2 linked regions of the Drosophila melanogaster genome follow. The protein of the gene in region 2 purifies or fractionates together with the protein of the main gene of each other region. This does not show direct contact. Each region holds a gene or a part of one and is shown on either strand. Other genes may lie near its edges.

What was found.
Region 1: the proteins of temp (region 2) and Rep purify together in Drosophila melanogaster (affinity purification with western blotting, with the first as the bait; one study listed by BioGRID). This does not show direct contact.

The regions. Positions count from the first base shown.
Region 1 is NT_033778.4:19,489,506-19,495,190, forward strand, and holds Rep (Rab escort protein), read left to right. Parts: upstream 1-2,581; 5' UTR 2,582-2,718; coding exon 2,719-2,767; intron 2,768-2,826; coding exon 2,827-3,912; intron 3,913-3,969; coding exon 3,970-4,370; 3' UTR 4,371-4,620; downstream 4,621-5,685. Other genes in the region: Oseg6 (outer segment 6), read right to left, coding at 1-536, 595-1,207, 1,282-2,007, 2,071-2,231; hpo (hippo), read right to left, coding at 5,177-5,685. UniProt on the Drosophila melanogaster protein: Binds unprenylated Rab proteins, presents it to the catalytic component B, and remains bound to it after the geranylgeranyl transfer reaction. The component A is thought to be regenerated by transferring its prenylated Rab to a protein acceptor.
Region 2 is NC_004354.4:2,258,896-2,265,182, forward strand, and holds temp (tempura), read right to left. Parts: upstream 3,621-6,287; 5' UTR 3,142-3,620; coding exon 3,056-3,141; intron 2,960-3,055; coding exon 2,571-2,959; intron 2,521-2,570; coding exon 1,799-2,520; 3' UTR 1,312-1,798; downstream 1-1,311. Other genes in the region: CG3071 (uncharacterized protein), read left to right, coding at 4,001-4,093, 4,162-5,676.

The sequences.
Region 1 (5,685 bases), on a different chromosome or scaffold from region 2:
TCCCGCCAGGCGCTGCTCTGATTCATCTGCTTGCACAGCTTGTAGGCTTCATCGTAGTTTCTCAGCTTCAGGAGCATCTGAAGATTTGCTGCCTGACTGTTGCTGGGATTCACGACGTGGGTACTGAGTGACTGTGTGGCATACTGGCCACCATCTATATGCAAAGCCATTTCTCCGCCGCAGAGCAGCAGAGGAAATTGACCCGGATTCAGTTTGGACTCACCCACCATCAGGGTGTGTGTCCCTTGTACAGAATGCCGCACAAAGACGTGCGTATTGACGATTCTAGCATCGTAGCTGATGAAGATATTCGGCTGCGTGAGATCCCAAAGACAGCCAAGGCACTGCTTGGGAATGTCCGGAATGAGGAGGGCCTCCTCGACAACAGGTAGGAAAACATAACCCTGGGAATGATCATCTATAAAAATAACCTTGGTGCCTTCGATGTCCATGAAGAGCTGCCGGATGCCCATACTGTGTCTGTAGATTGTGCAGCTGTCCCATTTTTCCAGGGAATAGAACACCAGGTGACCAATCTGGAATAATATTATAAATTATTATGCAAAGAACAAACCAACTTTTCCAACTACACACATCTGTTGCAAAAATCAGAAGCTCCTGGCTAAGTGCAAAGCACGTGATCACCGCATCACTGGGCATATTGGGCAGAGCTGTTGGAAAAACCGCCTGCAGCTTGTCCTTGCAGTTTGGATTGTCGGCGGCAATGGCCTGAAGGATTAGTTGTGGTGGACACAAAGCGGCACAGTAGTCCGCATTCAGTTTCATGCTCTCCACGCTGCGCGGAAAATCGCGTTCGCTTAGTGGACGAGGCTCCTCGCCCAAACTCTTCCCGAGATCATAAAACCATACGTGCTTTTCAATTCCTGTAGCAAAGTTGTATGGCCCCACGGCCATGAAGGTAGGCTCACCCTCCAGAGGCAAGCGGAAAGGCAGCGACTTTGTCTTGTCCGGTGCGTAAACATAGATGGACACCTCGGCGAGACTGCTCAACAGCACAATCCGAGGTGCAGAGACGGCGAAGAGATGAGGCAGCTTGGTCACATAGATGTACACAGTACCATGGTTTGTTGTAACCGCCAATAGTTGACCATCGGGCGACCAATCGATCATCTGAACACCGGCATGATCTGGCACGGTAATAATGCGTTCAGTCTCCTGGAGATTCGTTATTGAATGAATCTTAATGCTGCTTAAAAAATGTGAATATTAACATACGAATGTTTCCTAACAGGTTTTATAGATAAGAATATAAGTACTTACCTGTCATCCCCGCAGGAGGCAACTATATCTAACGTCGGGCAGTATGCCAATCCGGTCAAGCTGTCCTTGTGGTTCTTCACCTGCCAGAGCTCCTGTCCGACGTCCTTGGGATGCGTAGAGATGGCCACTACATGTCCGTTGGAAAAGCCCAGCAGGATATACCCATCGCCAAACCACTTGTGCTGCATCAGCGATCCGTATCGGCTCTGGAAGCCCAGCTCCGTAGGATTCTCGGGCTCGGGCAAATAGTAGAGAAACAGAGTACGCTTGCCGATGATCATGCTGATGGCATTGTCCCCCGCAATACGTTCGTCATTGGCCATTTCGGCGAAGTACATGTCGGTGGGCGCATCTCTTAGCTGGACTACGCGCACTGTGTCGCCATCCTCGTTGCTCAACGAGAAGCTCTTGTCCTCCGAACCGAGAGCCAACAGATTCTGGGCGGACCAGGCGCCGCAAGTGATTCGTTTGCTGTGCTTGCCCAGAACCGGTGTGGGTCGCTTTCCACTGCTATGATTATAAATGGCCAGATTACCGCGTCCTGTGCCGACGGCCAGTAGTTGTTGCTGCTTGGACCAGAGAATGCACGTGAGGGGATCTCGAAGGCCCGTCTCCACACTGATCTTTTCCTGGCTGTTATAGTCCCACAACGTTATGTTTGGGGAGCCACTGGTAATGATGCCCAGCAGGTCACCCTCTTGGTCCCAGGCGAATCCTGAGCACAGCCTGGAGAAGAGATTCCATTACTGGTCATTATTCATTATTACGTAGAGATTGAGCATAGCTCACCCAGAAAGTATGATGCGCTGCACCAGTTGGCCCTGTCGATTGTACAGGGCCACCGATCCATCGGTACCAGTTGTGGCCAGCAAAGCCTTCTGCCAAATGAAGTACACATCTCCGATCCCGTGCGGTTCCTCATATTTGTAAAGGATCTTTTCAAAGGACATTATTGGCTTTACGTTTCTGCTGCGTTAGTGTACATTCTGCAATTTTTAATTTTCCGGCTTTTGTTTACGAATTTTCCGTTTCCATGGTAGCGGCGACTACAACTACAAGCACAATTCCCCCCACCTGTATGTGTGCATTTTTATTGCACCTGTTGATTTGGGCATTGGGAAATTCAGTATTTTTGTAATACGCCTGCGATAACTATTGAATTAGACAATTTTTAATACATTTAAATGCTTAAAGAGTTGTAATGCAATGCTAAACTCCGTATGGAATAATTACAAAAGTTTAATTATATTTCAAATTTCAAACAACTTTATAACGTTTTGTTTCGTTAGCCAATACTATGAACAGCTGTTTGTTGATGACGTCATCGCTAGCTGCGCATCTGTAAACAGCTGCTTAAGTAAATTCGCAATAAATTCACGGAATACTTTATTTATCCGTAAATATAGTTTAAATATCAGTGCAAATAAGGCTTAGAACATGTTGGATGACCTGCCGGAGCAGTTTGACCTGGTCGTCATAGGCACAGGTAATTAAGAAGATTTGAAAAGAACCACAGATGAGTCATTCGAGGGACGCCCTTTTCAGGCTTCACCGAGTCCTGCATCGCCGCTGCGGGCAGCAGGATAGGCAAATCGGTGCTCCACCTGGATAGTAATGAGTACTACGGGGATGTTTGGAGCTCCTTCTCTATGGATGCTCTATGTGCCCGCTTGGACCAGGAAGTCGAGCCTCATTCTGCATTGCGAAACGCAAGGTACACCTGGCATTCCATGGAAAAAGAATCAGAAACAGATGCACAATCCTGGAATAGGGACTCAGTGCTGGCCAAGTCGCGACGCTTCAGCTTGGATCTATGCCCGCGCATTTTATACGCAGCCGGGGAGCTGGTGCAGTTGCTCATCAAGTCGAACATCTGCCGCTATGCTGAATTCCGAGCCGTGGACCATGTGTGCATGCGCCACAATGGTGAAATTGTGTCCGTGCCCTGCTCCCGTAGCGATGTCTTCAACACCAAAACACTGACCATCGTGGAAAAGCGCTTGCTGATGAAATTTCTCACCGCCTGCAACGATTACGGCGAGGACAAGTGCAACGAGGACTCGTTGGAATTCCGGGGACGAACGTTTCTGGAATATTTGCAGGCGCAGCGGGTGACCGAAAAGATATCGTCGTGCGTGATGCAGGCCATTGCCATGTGCGGCCCCAGCACCAGCTTCGAGGAGGGTATGCAGCGCACACAACGATTTCTGGGCAGTCTGGGCCGCTATGGCAACACACCCTTTCTCTTTCCCATGTATGGCTGCGGGGAATTGCCGCAGTGCTTCTGCCGTTTGTGCGCTGTTTATGGTGGCATTTACTGCCTAAAGCGAGCCGTTGACGACATTGCCTTAGATTCCAATTCGAATGAGTTCCTGCTGAGCAGCGCAGGGAAAACTTTGCGTGCCAAGAATGTGGTCTCTGCCCCTGGCTATACACCAGTTTCAAAGGGCATCGAGTTGAAGCCGCACATCTCACGTGGCTTGTTCATATCGTCCAGTCCCCTGGGCAATGAGGAGCTGAACAAGGGAGGTGGTGGTGTAAATCTTCTTCGACTACTTGACAATGAAGGTGGACGGGAAGCCTTCCTAATACAACTGTCGCACTACACGGGAGCCTGTCCCGAGGGTTTATGTAAGAAACTTAAGAAAATATGTGAATTATTCCTTTTTAATGAATTAATTTTTACAGATATCTTCCATCTGACCACGCCAGCGTTGAGCGAGGATCCAGCGTCTGATCTAGCCATTTTCACTAGCCAACTCTTCGATCAATCAGACGCACAAATAATATTTAGCTCATACTTCACAATTGCTGCCCAGTCTAGTAAAAGTCCCGCTGCCGAGCATATTTACTACACCGATCCACCTACCTACGAGCTGGATTATGACGCGGCCATTGCCAATGCTCGCGACATATTTGGCAAAATGTTCCCAGATGCCGACTTTTTGCCACGAGCCCCAGATCCAGAGGAGATTGTCGTGGATGGTGAAGACCCTAGTGCCTTGAACGAGCACACTTTGCCCGAAGATTTGCGGGCACAATTGCACGACATGCAGCAGGCAACTCAGGAAATGGATATACAAGAGTAGTCATACTAAAATAAAAAGGAGGTTTCCTTGGTCTACATATATCATTACTTATTACAAAATTTTCTTAAGTATCTTTCGAATAAGTTATATATTGTATGCAATTTTTTGATTCATATATTCCTATATATTTATTATGTAAATTATTTATAATTGCTAAAAGTACTAGGTATATATAAATGTTTAAATGTGAGTGTTTCTGTGCATTTTGCTTTGATAAATATATGTTCGAAAAATATGCATTCCAATGCGTATAAAAATGTTTCTCCTTTATAAGTATTGCTTGACGGGTTACTGTTTTTATCGCACGAAGACAGAAAATAAGTGTTTTAGAGATAAAGGTTAATAGTTACCAAGGAAGAACGAATATTATAAGTCTTATTAAATTATGATAAGGCCTGGGCAGTTCACAATACGGGCAGCTACAATAAACGCAAGATAAATTTTATTCGAGCATACCTATTTATATTAAAAGACAGATCAATGAAAGCTAGGATATAAGAAACCAAGCATAAATTTGATGAAATCTAACAGAAAATATGCTTTCGTGCTGGAAGATACTGCCGATGACTCCTCTTTTCTGTTTTCACTGCATTTTACAATAAAGCTTTTGTGTTTTCATTTCTTGTGATTGATTTTAGACCCTTCCACCAGGTTAAATTTGCACAATGCACGAATAATTTCTAGAGGATACAGATGATGGGTCTGTAAGATTCAGTATTCATCTGCAAACTTAACCCAATGTAGAGGCAATTGAGTGAGTTGAGATTTCATAATCAGTTGTCTTGCGAAATTGTGAGTTGCTTTACCTATATCTTAATCAGATTATTATTGATGTTCTGCTGGCGTTTGCGCTTTGCATTCATGGCGTCAACAATTGGCTGCCGCTTGGCATTGTATTTCTTGTTTAGCTGTTCGATCTCCAGCTCCATTTCGTGATCGATGTTGCACAGCCGCTGGTTCAGATCGTCGAAGGTAAGGAACTTGAGGAACTCAAACTCACCCTCAACATAGGCGTGCGATTGCGTATGCATATGCTGATTCTGATATGCGGGCGGCGGTTGAGCTGGAGCCGCTGCCGGTATTCCCTGCTGTCCCATTGGCGCAGCGTTGCTGAGCAGCAGATTCGGTTGATTGTTGAGCGCGATGAGTTGTTCGTTCATCAGGGGATAAGCCATCAGAACTTGCTGCTGCTGCTGGTGCTGCTGCAGACCATACTGATTAATGGCGGAGATCTGCTGGAACTGCATTTCCATGTTGTGCTCCCAGTTGTTCAAATCGTTGGCCCCGCTTGCCAGATGCTGTTCATCCTGCTGTT
Region 2 (6,287 bases):
GCCATAGGCCCTACGTATGCGCACATGTTCTTTCCGTTGCCGTTACCGTTACTTACTCACTACATTCTGGCACATTCACTGGCACTCGCGGTCGCAAAAATAGGATGGTGGGAATAATAAGCTTCTAGGCTAGCTAATCCTAATCTGATTGAAGTCCTAAGGAAGTGGCACCTTAATGCTCACCAATTAGATTGAGTTTCCACTAGTAGGATTACTTGGCAACTCAATAATGTGCCTATTAGCCGCTGCTATTAGTGCAGCCGCGAGTATAGCTCCCTTGGCCGTAGGAACTTCGCACACACACCCCACCCCCCACACTGGCACAAAATCATCAGGTGTGTCCATTTTGTGTTATCTACACATGTGCAGCCGATGGTGCCCCAGGGTCAGGTATTCCGAGGTATATTTCCAGGACACGACGGGATGGTGCAGGACAAGATCCTGGGGATGCCCGGAGGGAACAGGTCCCGAAGACAATGGCACAGTACTTTGCAGCCCATAATCAACTCATAAACATCATAAACTAACCCCCACCCCTCACGAACACCACACACCCATGAAGTGAACTGCGATGGAGGCGTAGTTTTGGGCCCACGCCCCTTGGGCCAGGAAAAGTGGGTGGGAGTTATAAAAAATGCAAAGAGGGCGGATGGAAAACGAATATGAATATTTTAAAACCAAACAAAGACGGGCACAGAAAAGCGCACACACACTCTCGATGCAATGCTCCCTTGAAATCCTCTTGGCCTGTACACATGTATCCACAAACGGAACCCCGTTCAGCAAACTAAAAAAAAAAATCGAATAATATACTTTGTTTATTACTTTTGATTTCTCGGTTGACTGGAATGCACTTTTTTTCGACGAGTCGGAAACAAATTGTTTGTAAGCCTTCAAAGAAGCCAGCACTTTCGCCACTCAACACTCCACAAAACACCGCCGCACGCGAACTGCTCCAGAAACACACTGAAAAGCTGGTAGGGATTACGGCCTGGCGATTCTGAGTCCGCTGCTGAAATTGTTGTCATCTCAGGCCTTCGGCAGCATCTCGCACATCCCACCTCGCATCCCAGGCATGCGCAATCGATACTCGTTACCCCACAATCCCCAGTTCACTCGGGGAAGGGATGGGATGTCATGGCTGTGGCTGCACCGCCACAAAACGATACCATCCCATATTACAACTGCTCTGCGCAAAAGAAACCCCCATACAATGCATTTTGAGTGCTCATTACGGCCATTACCGAATCGATATTCTCGAAATGAACGAGCCGAACTGGCTCGACGTTCAAAACTGCATAAAAAAGGCGTCGTCTATGATTTGGATTTATTTAAAAACTAACTGCAATTGGCTAACAACAAACACGTGCATGGCATGGCGATAATCGGTTAAGTTTTACTTCTGAACAAAGGGCTAACAAATCGTGCCCGGATCAGATTAAGAACAGAAACGAACAGGTAACGCTAATAGATATCGAAATGCAATTGGCGGACCAGTGAGATCCGTTGTCATATCGGGCTAGTTGAACTTTGTCTTTGGATCGCACATTTATAGTAGAGTAGAATAGAGGCATTTCCGTTTCCAAATCCGTTTTGAATCGTCTTCCTTTCTAGTATTTTACTCTTTAACAATTTGTCTTGCACAAGTTTCTGTATTTTTGGGACGATAATTAGATAGGAAATAAAACACACGTCTTTATACACTTGCCACATTTCAGAACGGATGGGCAAACGGAAAGGCCGGGAGTGAGTAATTCTATTGGGGTAGATTGATTTGAGCTTTATCAGGTCGCGCTGTCTAGTCCGCTGGATATCCAAAGCTGAGGTGAAGATTGCACCACCGCCGGTGCTTACCACCCAGGGTGGACTCCTCGCGCCGTACGGCACTTAAAAACGGATTATCTTCAAAGTCAAAGTTGCCCAAATGCGAACGCAGATCGCCTGACGCCACTGGTAACAGTTGGCCATTGGGCAAGCCCATTTGCAGGCGCACGCACTGCTCCACGATGAACTTGAGTGCCGCACGGCGATGCAGCTCGAAGCAATCCCGCGATCCGTACATCAAGCGCTGCTCGGCACACAGACGCATATCGTTGGCGGCAACGTTGCAGCAGTAAAGAAATGATATTAGCCTTTGCTTGCTCACGGAACTCAGATCCACATGTGGTAGCAAGAGACCCAGCAGATCCTCAGCGTTGGCTTCACATTCCAGGCCATAGCTTGTCATTAGATGCTGCAGACTGGCCAACGTAGACGAACCACTGGCTCCGGAATCCTTGGGAAGGGCAAAACTGAGCTCATATGCACGACTCAGGAGCACTTGGCGGTAGTGGTAGCAGCTGTAGTCACTGATGTGCTTCCGCATAAACTTCTCCGTGCGTAGCAGTTCCGATTGCAGCAGGCATGGGCCGTTCTGAAGGATCCACTGGCGGTGCGACCAGGCGTGATAGTTGCTGGCGCATCTATCGGCGGCCCTTTCGCATATCCCGATCTCATTGGGCCAGTCAATAGCATCGGCACCTGGAAATAATGGAATGAAATGGGATCCCCAGTTGCCGACGTCCACTTACTTTGAAATGAGTACAGCCAACGGCGGTAGGCGAATGCTTCATTGGACTTCGGTTTGATTGAGAGCACGAGTGCGGAGAACTGCAGCTCCTTGTTGATGCTCAGCCGATTCTTTTGCACCAGCTGACGGCGGATGTGCCAAAAGGTGGTCACATCGGGATTAATCAGCAGAGCCACGTTTAGGTATTTGGCCAGGGAGTCGCTCTGCTGCTGCTGCTGCAGCGTCCGCAGCTGTTGCGCCGTGGTTTGACGGCGATGGGAGATGAGGGTGCGGTGGGCGTGGTCGTAGACATGCTGGGCACACCACGATTCCAGGCCCAGATTGTGCTCCACATGCACAACCGGCGATTTGTTGCAGTTGGCTTCTTTGGGTATAATTTCAAAGGAGGCGCTGGTGGAGAAAAGAACAATATATTCGGACATCAAGGCTTGCTTTCATTGCTAACAGTCTGATTAGATCTATAGTAGAACTAAATGCTGGACTCACAGATCCTGATCCTTGAGGAACACCGCATTGATGTCCCTGATGATCTTCTCGCAGAGCACCTTTTTCTCGTTGCGTTCCTCCTCCATGGAATTTGAGTATAGTCCGAACGTGGAATTTCAATGGGGATGTGGTTTTTGCTTCCTCGGGGATCTCGCTTCCGTTCCGTTCGATTCGAGGGTCTCAGGCACATTGATTGCCTCCAATTAATATGAACATGCTCAATGTCTCCGGTTAATTAAGATTTGGAAAGGGGAGGAAGAGGAGAAGATGGCGGAGGCTGGAACCCTGTCTACGCGACTATGGAACCCCCAAAGGCGGCCGCATCACAACAAATAAATTTCAATTAAGCCGGGGCCTGGACACGAGATCTAGCCTTTATTATTATTATTATTTCAGTGCCCAGTGCGAGGGGCTGTCAATCTGGTTCACCCCAAAGCGCGGTTCTCCGGCGGATCGGTCCGCAAGCTCGGAAATGTGTTCCCTTTTTTTGGCGACGGTGAGCATATGTTTGTTTGCAAACATGTGTTTGGTGTGCACAACAACAGAGGAGGCACTTGCCACGATAACCTACTAACCGCGACGTCAGAACCAACTGTCGGGAAAATGGCTATTGAAAGCAGGCATTAGCTGGGACATTAGAATTTTTCAATTTTTTTTTCCTTTTTTCTACAGTCAGTATTATCAGTACATTTGCTACATTCATATATTTTTTCAGTATTAACGGAATTATTTCTTAAGTATATGCGTTTAATAAACAGTTGATAGCAGAATGATTAAGATATTTAAGAAAATTTATTGAATTCAATGAGCACCTCCGTATTTGTGTGCACGCGGATTTGGCTAAAAACCAAAATGTTTGCCACCACTGTTACATTCCGCTGGTCACACTCTTCCCATCTAACACGTGCGCGCCCGAAAGAGATTTAGTAGAAATACACAGACAGGATGCAGAACTCCTTTCTTCCACTGAACACACGGCGTTTTCGACAGCGGGCCCAGGTGGAAACGCCGGATACGGTGTACTGGGACCGACTGGCGGTGAGTTGTATAGGACTAGGCAGAGAGGCTCGGCAACCAAATCATTGTTTCCCCTCTGCATTCCACAGAAACCAGAACTACTCAAGGAGCACAACACCATCGATTATTTGGACTTCAGTCCAAGCGATCCTGACAACTTTGTTGTGACCTGTTCGGTGCGCGTTCAGATTTACAACCTGGTGACCATGCTTGTGGTAAAGAACCTTTCCCGATTCCAAAAGACCGCATACGGCGCCACCTTCCGGCAGGATGGTCGACTCCTGGCCGCCGGCGACGAGGAGGGCCATGTCAAGCTATTCGACACCACCAGTCGCAACATCTTGCGTTTGTTCAAGGGACACACGGCACCAGTACACCGCACCTTCTTTACGGCGGACAAGCTGCAGCTAGCCAGTTTTGGAGACGACAAGTCGGTCCGTCTGTGGGACGTGGCAAACGAGAAGGTGGTGCAAACGTACGAGGACACGCACACCGACTACGTTCGTGCAGGCGCCATGCATCCGCAGGCAGGGCATATGTTCGTCTCCGGCGGCTACGATGGCAAGATCAAACTGTACGATACGAGAGCGGAAACGGCGGTGCAGCGCACCTTAGATCACGGAGCTCCGGTGGAGTCCATGTTGTTCCTTCCGAACGGCTCTATTTTCGTCAGCGCCGGCGGCAGCCAGGTGCGCGTATGGGATCTCATCAGCGGCTGCCGTCTGCTCACCATGATGTCGCAGCATCACAAAACAGTAACTTGTCTGCGACTGGGATCCGATGGCAGGAGATTGCTCTCAGGCGGGCTCGATAGGCACGTGAAAATCTACGATGTGAGCACCTACAAAACAGTGCACACATTGACTTATCCCAATGCGGTGGTCAGCATGGCTGTTGCTGACGGAGATCAAGCAGTTGTGGCTGGAATGGTCGATGGTCTAGTCTCCATTCGTCGCATGATGGTAGACAGCAAGCCCAGTCATTTGAAAAAGATTCGTGCGGATCGCGCTCGAAAGTACTTCGTGAGTACGAAACGCACGAACAACACCCAAGAGGTTGATCACACCATCAAGGACCACGTCAAGGGGCCTGGATTGAAATCCTACGATGTGCACTTGCGCCAGTTTAACCACAAGAAGGCTTTGGACGACGTGATGAATGCGCAGAAGATGCAATACCAGCCGGAGCTCATTGTGGCTGTCATCACGGACCTTCTGCACCGTGGATCACTGGGAAAAGCCCTCACGGGTCGTCATGAGGCAGCGCTTGTCCGATTCATCGACTTCATTTGCAACCACTTGGGCGAGGTGCGATTCATGCGCCCGCTGATGATGGCCGCGAGCACGGTCCTTGATGTCTTCGAGCAACGATTGGTGGCCTACAGCCAGAAGCTGATGAAAGCCTTGCAACGATTGTCACTTGCAATGCAGGAGGAGGTGAGGCTCACCGCCGAGCTGATGCGGATGAAGGGTGCTGTGGATATGCTCATTGGGATTTCAATGGACAATAGCGAGGTAGCCCATAAGCCCACCTATGTGGAGACAAAGACACCTAAGATGCATCCCTCCGTGGCGGCGCAAAATTATGTGGTCTTAGTTGAGTGACCCAGGCCGACGTAGAACAACGATATAGCCACATAGCTTTGATATTAAGTATATAAGTAGTAGTAGTTTAAGTATAAAGCAGTTTCAATACCCATTACGCATGTATATATCTTTCTTTATTAAATACATACTTAAAATGAACGTTTCGTCGTGCATGCCAATTTCAGTTTTGAAATGTACAATGAAATTTTGTCTGCCGTTTTACGCATAATAAAAAAAAAAAAACAATGTTAATGGGGCAGCAAAACAGCTGCCCGCGAAAACGAACTTTTTTTTAATATAATGGGTAATTTACTTGCAAATATTTACGATTTTCGTTCTCCAACTACTCGATTTAGGTTTCATTTTTAATTCTTTTTTATAGTTAGATTTACGTTATTTTACGATTATTTGGAAAGACGAATTTACACTTAGAATTTGCTCATCTTCGACGCATCGTTCTGTATTATTCTGCTTAAGCTAAACTCTCGCACTAATATTAATATATATCTTTATATTTATGTATAATTATAATTATATGTATGTATAGATATATATATCTATTCCGATCGACATCGCGTCAACTTTTCCCAACATGCCGTTCCTTGTGTTGCTTGCTTACCAGTTAAAGG